Linked DNA regions of Saccharomyces cerevisiae S288C. Changing the gene in region 2 together with the main gene of any one other region gives a genetic interaction. Each region holds a gene or a part of one and is shown on either strand. Other genes may lie near its edges.

The links.
Region 1: of SKN1 (region 2) and PAM16, a mutation in one rescues a mutant of the other (synthetic rescue), as found in Saccharomyces cerevisiae (one study listed by BioGRID).

What each region holds. Positions count from the first base shown.
Region 1 is NC_001142.9:225,251-228,357, reverse strand, and holds PAM16 (import motor complex subunit PAM16), read right to left. Parts: upstream 1,032-3,107; coding exon 582-1,031; downstream 1-581. Other genes in the region: SET4 (Set4p), read right to left, coding at 1,621-3,107. UniProt on the Saccharomyces cerevisiae protein: Essential component of the PAM complex, a complex required for the translocation of transit peptide-containing proteins from the inner membrane into the mitochondrial matrix in an ATP-dependent manner.
Region 2 is NC_001139.9:773,616-778,342, forward strand, and holds SKN1 (beta-glucan synthesis-associated protein SKN1), read left to right. Parts: upstream 1-1,577; coding exon 1,578-3,893; downstream 3,894-4,727. Other genes in the region: BTN2 (Btn2p), read left to right, coding at 1-71. UniProt on the Saccharomyces cerevisiae protein: Required for synthesis of the major beta-glucans of the yeast cell wall.

The DNA.
Region 1 (3,107 bases), on a different chromosome or scaffold from region 2:
TTTAAGCTCATATTACGTAATAAGTTAATACTGGAGCGAGAATAATTTAAATCATTTCATCATAACCCATAGCTGAATGAACTTTGACTACTCCTAAACAAAGTAGTAACAATTTTCATTTCGTTTCCGGTTTCTTAGATCGAATATTATTCTGAGGAAATTCCCTGATTACATATCAGGGAAAGGTTCGCGTTTTTAGAGAATTGCGTAATGCGATTTGAAAGTTTAAATTCCTAAGCGACTCTTCTTCATGATAAGACAGTTTATATTTTGTATACTTTCTCATTCCCATAATTTGTAGTGCCTACGGGGATGGACTTGTCTTGGTACCAACTGACGGTACGTTCTGATGCTGCCTTGCTTGTGCTCCAACATTTTTTTTTTAATTTCATTTTCGTGTACGGTGCGTATATCGAGATGGCATCTGAGTATATTTACTTTGGTACATATACTAATATTAACTAAATACAAGGATGGTGGTTGAAGATTCCTAACGTACAGGAAGCAACCAACTAGGAAAATATATGCACTGCTGCATGCTTTCGATAACACTTGTGACGTAATGATGGAGGCTTCCTTGACTACTGATTGCTGCTTGCACTATTATCTGCACCAGATGAATTTGTTGAATTCGGAGGAGGTTTCGCTGTTGAAGCGTCCCCTGCTTTCGCCTTCGCATTTTTTTCTCTCTGAGCCAGTTCCCATTTTAACCTTTCTGCTGCTCGATAAACTTTGCTCTGTAAGTAGAAGCTTCCACCTTTTTCTTTATCGTTAACCTCAAATAGATAGTTAAACCTGTTATTAATCTTGTCCATGTTTAAATCGCCCTTGGATTCTTCAATATTTAAAATTTTACAACTCTCATCCAACGTAATACCACCATATTCGCCTTTTCCTGTTCCCCTTCTAGATGCATTTGTAGCACCTTGTTTCACTGATTGTGAAGCCGCTTGTCTATACGCCTCGGCGAATGCTTTTCCAAAAACTTGAGTTCCTGTGATTATAACCTGTATGAAAGCCCTGTGAGCCATATTTTATATCCAACAAGTCTATGTTTTTCTTATGCTCAAGTCACGAAGCTGTTGCCAAATTTATAGTCAGCTGAAATATGTGAATCGGATGCAAATGAGTTATAAGTTGAAGCTTCAAAATTTGCTACGTGAAAAATGATAAACGATGATGAAGTAAATAAATATCGTAAAACGAAAAACTCTCTTTTAAAAAATTCATATGTAGGAATTTCATTTGATAAGAACCTCACTCTTCATATCAAATAAGTCATTAACCTGCCATGAAATGAATTATGGAAACAATGCAGCTTTTTGAAAGGAAAAGTGCGGTGGATTTTAACGTTAAGGATCCTCTCAACTAATGATTGATGCTTAATCGTGGCATCTATAAATAAAGCATGAATTGTTCTCTATAGTTACAAAGTGGTGATTTATTATAAAAGTGTTTTGATATTCACGCTTTCAACATTAAAGCTAAAAACAAAAGAAAAAAAATGAAGACCAATGCGAAAAAAAATACCAAGATTGAAGTTTTGGAAGAAAAATTATGATGATAAAATTAAGCTTTCAAAAAAGATTAAAATGAATACTATTAATTTTAAAATTTCGTTTATGGCTTACAGTTGTGCATTATTGTATTAAAGTAAGATTTATTAGATAGGGATTCCTTCGTATTCCTCATGAATTCTTCAGAAAAGTTTTTGATTTTAGTTATTGGACAATTATGGCCCAAGTACCCACATGCACAATCACAATTTGTTAAAATAGTCTTTATTGACCCCATCAACCAGAACTTGTCGGGATCCGGTAGGGAATCCAAATCTTTAGATGCATTTATTATCTCCCAAATAGGATTTCTCAAATCCCATTGCCATTCTACGCTTATCTCTTCTCCCTTACGAATATCTCTTATAGCCCTTAAAACAAATTTAACTCTACAATCATTATCTCCTCTTGGTTTTTCGTCAAGCGGTCTTACCGTTACTAGTTCCACATTGGGCTCACAACTCCGTCTTATGTATCTTGTTAATCCGCCTGTTTCTCGAGAGTCTATATATAAAGGCCAATGTGGATGAAAAAGTACTTTAGGTTTTGTCGTTCCCATCAAACGATAGTCATTATTTGGATCTGTCTGATAATTTTTTTGAAAATCAATTTTGCCCAAATATTCTTGAATTAGCTCACCTTTAACACAAGAATCTGCAGCGAAGACTCCAAAATCTCTTTCATTTGATGATTTTCTTACCTCGATGTCAGCTGACCTTGAGCTTTCCCAGTTAGAACAAACAACCCAATCGTCATCATAATGGTTATCAATAAACATCTTAACATATTTGTCCTTATACTCTGATATTGTTATTGCTTTGAATTCCGTGTCATTGGAAGAACTTACCTCATTCAGTAGTGGCTTCAGAAAGTGGCTTGATACTACCAGTTTTTCTTGCCTCAATTTTTTCCGTATACTATTGCTATTTTCAGTTGTTGGGGCGGTATAATGAAGTTGACGTTTCTTGGGCTGTTCCTCTATGTTATTCACAGACTGTTGATGCTGATTTGTGTTCGATGCTGAAGTTGTCACTATGGATGAAAATTGAAATAATCGCTCATCTCCCATTTTTCTAGGGAATATCATTGGTTTTACTTGATTAACCTGCACTTTCGTATCACTGTCACATCTTTTGCAAACAAAATCTCTTTTTATTGGATCTGATTTTTTGAAAGCATAACATAACTTGTGCTGCCACGTTTTACATTTGTTACACTGTATAAACAACTCATCCTTGGAGTCACTTGAACCGCAGATGCAACCATTTTTAGGTTTGTTATCTTCTGCTCTCATGGAGGGTGTAATTTTATTTTCTTTCGATGATTCATTGTGTGTTACCGAGACCTTGGAATTATCATCTTGATTCTGTTTTTTCAGTGGAAATGGTATGGTGGCAGCAGTTGCCAATGCTACTGCTGCTGCTATTCCTCTTTTATTTGTTGATGCCGTTTTTGATGAGCCTGATGAAGAATGATGGTTGAAAATGCCCCTGTCATTTTGAAATAAATGTAAAGGCGTTGGGCCAGCTGTAGGCATTGTATTGAATGTCC
Region 2 (4,727 bases):
AGGAAGTTGACAGATACAACGAGTCCCTAAGCAGATCTCCCAAGGGAAACTCTATTATTGAGGAGATATAATGGGTGATAATACATACTCCCCATCTTTCATTTTTACGGCATTAAATAACTAATTATATGCATCTTATATACTACTATAATTCACTGACTTTATGAAAGGAATATAAATCGGCACGGCAGAAGGCGGATTTATTTTGTTACAATATAACAAAATAAAAGGGCAACAGTAAAGTAGAAATTATTAGTATCCGTGATTTTAGTACAATTATTTGCTTCCTAGAAATCCGGTTTTCCATGTTAACATTTATGCTAGTATTTTATGGTGGAATGGCAAGTGATTCACAAAATACAAGCTACTTTATCGAATGATTGAAATTCATTTCTGCTTGAATAGAATTCAACTATCGTTTATCGATTCTATTTTGAGGATTCCTATACCCTCGAGGAGAACTTCTAGTATATTCTATATACCTAATATTACTACTGTTATTAACAATGGAATCCCAACAATTATCTCAAAATTCACCAATATCTCAATTCCATCTTTAGAAAAATTAAGTTCAAATTAACGGAAACAGTAATCAAGTAAAAGAGCTTTTTTTTTCTTCTCCCCTTCCTGCCCTGAAGATAATTGAGTAAATGTTACGTTGAGAATGGCTTTTTGATATTTCATTAGATTTACTTCATTATTCTTCTCTATTCTCCCCTTTCATCAATTAATTGGGCGTGTGGCGTAGTCGGTAGCGCGCTCCCTTAGCATGGGAGAGGTCTCCGGTTCGATTCCGGACTCGTCCAAATTTTTTTACTTTTAATGAGGTATACTGGAATATTACGGCTCTTTTTTTTTAGAAACATATTCCTCAAATGGGTAAACGGACCCTGGTGCAAGGTGTGGGTGCTGAGACAAATACGATCTGAGTTGTTTTAAAAAGGAAAACAAATGAATGCGTGCCCAAAGCGGAAAATTGGTCAACATCGATGCGTAATTAGTAGGCCCAGGTGAGCCTGTGCCGAACATGTATCTCTGCGCAGATTACTATATATTCCCGAGCATAACAGCATATAGTTTTCTTTCACATAGGCCTTCCTCCAACTGCCATCACTGTACATAGACGTTTCGGCACTGTATATTCTTGTCCCTTTTTTTTTGCCTACTACATTGCTGCATTCAAACGATATCGCTCTGCGAACCGTTTAAAACTGACCAAAATAGGGAGACCTACCTTCTAAGGAGAAAAAATTCGCATTGCTAAAAAAAAGCTAAAAGAGAAAGAGAAGAAGAATATTAAACCAGTATATTCTACTACAACTATCGATTTACTCCGACTACAAAGTGCCTCTTCGTATTTTCAGTCGCTCGAAAAAACAACCCATATTCCATTTGATTCTACGCAGCTGGTAGAAACTTTTACAGGTTTGATAAAATTATTACAATCGTTAGCGGTTACGCAAGGAATAGGAAATAAAGAAACGGTAAATAATAAGAAAAACACAGCAGATCTAAGCCTATTGCACACAGTATATTATAACCATTACTAGCTAGTGTTACATAAACAATAGCAGAATATGTCTGTGCGAAACCTCACCAATAATCGTCATTCCAACAGCGAAAATAGTGTTTCCGGAAGCGAAAACTCCTTTTATTCCTCGAATGAGCAATCAAGACAAAGCTCATCATTAGAACCTGCAGATGGTCAGAACGTTAGGGTGAGCGGTAATCCTTTCCTTGGAAGTGAAGAATTTGACGAAGATTATAATTCACCCAGTGGAGACGATGAGCGGCGTGGGGCAAATGAATATTCCAGTTCTTCATCCATAAATTATAATAACGATCCTAACAGCGATACTTCTCTTCTGGCTAATGAAAAGAACTCACCCGAGAGAAATGGTCAAAGAATGTCAGACTATAAGGGCTATTATGCTAAGACTAACCTAACTTCTGCTAATAACTTAAACAATCATAATAACAATAATTATAAGAACATTATAAGCAGTAGTAACGATAATAGTTTTGCATCACATTTACAGCCGCCGGACAGAAACTTACCGTCTCATCCTTCTTCAAATAATATGAGTAGCTTTTCTAACAACAGCTTAATTAAGTCTCCACCACCTTTTGACAGATATCCGCTAGTAGGAACGAGGCATATTTCAGCGGCTCAATCTCAGTCGCAGAACCTTATAAATGAAAAGAAAAGAGCGAATATGACTGGCTCATCTTCTTCTGCTCACGACTCTTCATTATCATCCACCAACTTATACATGGGCGAACAGGATTTTTCGCCCTTTGGCGGTTATCCAGCTTCCTTCTTTCCGTTAACGTTGGACGAAAAGGAAGACGATGACTACATTCATAATCCAAATGTCGAGGAAGAAGCAAAGTTAGATAGAAGGAGGTTCGTTGACGACTTCAAACACATGGATAGAAGATCTTTCTTGGGGCTTCTGGGTATTCTATTTTTATTTATGGCTGGTATATTTATTTTCATTGTATTACCTGCAATTACATTTTCCGGGGTAGTTTATCATCATGAACATGTTCATGCGGCAAATTCAGCAGGATCGTCGTCTTCTAATACTACATCCAAGTCATTGACTGAATATCAATATCCTCAACTTGCGGCTATAAGGACAACTTTAGTTGATCCAGACACACCTGACAGTGCGAAGACAAGAGTAGCGAAAGATGGATCTAAATGGCAGCTGGTGTTTTCCGATGAATTTAATGCTGAAGGTAGGACCTTTTACGATGGCGATGACCAGTTTTGGACAGCTCCTGACATCCACTACGACGCTACGAAAGATCTTGAATGGTACTCACCAGATGCCGTTACAACTACAAATGGTACCTTGACGTTGAGAATGGATGCATTCAGAAACCATGACCTTTATTACAGATCTGGTATGGTACAGAGCTGGAACAAACTCTGCTTTACAGAAGGTGCGTTAGAAGTTTCCGCGAACCTCCCTAATTATGGTCGAGTTACAGGATTATGGCCTGGTATGTGGACCATGGGGAACTTGGGCAGACCAGGTTATTTGGCGAGTACTCAAGGTGTTTGGCCTTATTCATATGAAGCATGTGACGCTGGTATAACACCAAACCAAAGTTCCCCAGATGGTATTTCTTACTTGCCGGGACAAAAGTTGAGTGTTTGTACTTGTGATAATGAGGATCATCCAAATCAGGGAGTTGGAAGAGGCGCACCGGAAATAGATATTTTAGAAGGTGAAGCTGATACAATTTTGGGTGTTGGTGTTGCGTCACAATCTCTACAAATTGCTCCATTTGATATATGGTACATGCCCGATTATGACTTCATCGAAGTTTATAATTTCACCACAACAACTATGAATACTTACGCTGGTGGGCCTTTTCAACAAGCTGTCTCAGCAATATCCACTTTAAATGTAACATGGTATGAATTTGGGGAGGAAGCAGGTTATTTTCAAAAGTATGCCATTGAATATCTCAATGATGACGACAACGGATATATTCGTTGGTTTGTGGGAGAGAACCCTACTTTCACACTATATGCTACTTCTTTACATCCTAGTGGTAATATTGACTGGAGGAGAATAAGTAAGGAGCCAATGTCAGCGATTTTAAACTTAGGTATTTCCAACAACTGGGCCTATATCGACTGGCAATATATATTTTTCCCGGTGACAATGTCAATAGATTACGTCCGATTATACCAGCCGAAGGGTTCTACGTCCATTACTTGTGATCCTGAGGACTACCCGACATATGATTATATCCAAAGCCATCTAAATGCATATTATAACGCCAATTTAACTGATTGGGAACAGGCTGGATATACTTTCCCAAAAAATATTCTAACAGGAGGTTGTAGTAGTTCAAAATTCTCATTATCCTGAGGTTGATTTTTTTTTTTCAACTGGTTAAAACCTACTATCTAAGTGCGCTTTAATTCTAAGGAGGCAAAATAGTCTGCGGTCACAGTCGTTGAAAGTTCTAGATTTGGGTACGGAAGCAGCCATGTAAATGGTCTTCCTTTGTAATAATATCATCACTGGAGTTTTTAAATTAGAGTACGGATTCAAGTTAGCGAAAAATTTCTGTTGGTATCTGATAGCAATTTGTCGACAAGGTGGAGAGTTTTTGAAGTTTTTTTTTGTAACAGTTATGTTACACTATTTACCAGAGAAACACCAAGACAGGAGCCCTCAGAAGCTTTCGTGTTGTCAGAACATAAATATCTTCTATATGTTTTAATCTTTTATATTAATCAATATTTTATGTTAAATCATATTATTATTCGTTAATGGTTAACTTGCGCTATTTCAAAATTGGAAGGATAGTGTGGTTACAAGCGGTGTTTTTGATGTATGTTTACTGCTAAGAGTATACCGTCCTGTTTACTTTTTTACCTTTTGTTCCGTTATTGATTTTTCGCAGCAAGGTTGAAGCTTCAAATTTGAAAATGAAATTAAGACGTAGAGATGAAAAACAGCGATGAAATTACTTTTTATAGCTTCTTTCCCATCTGACTCCGTTTTATAAACAGGGGTTCTTTAAGGGCTTACAAATAAATATAAACACTAACACATATATATTATTCGACCTACAGTTTTTGCGACCAATGAAGTTTACCTATTTTGAGTTAGTGCTTACGTAGTTTGCTTAAGGTCAAGGTGGTATTAAGCTTGCGCTTTCTCTAAATAATATCATATGGTACAGACAGGGATAAG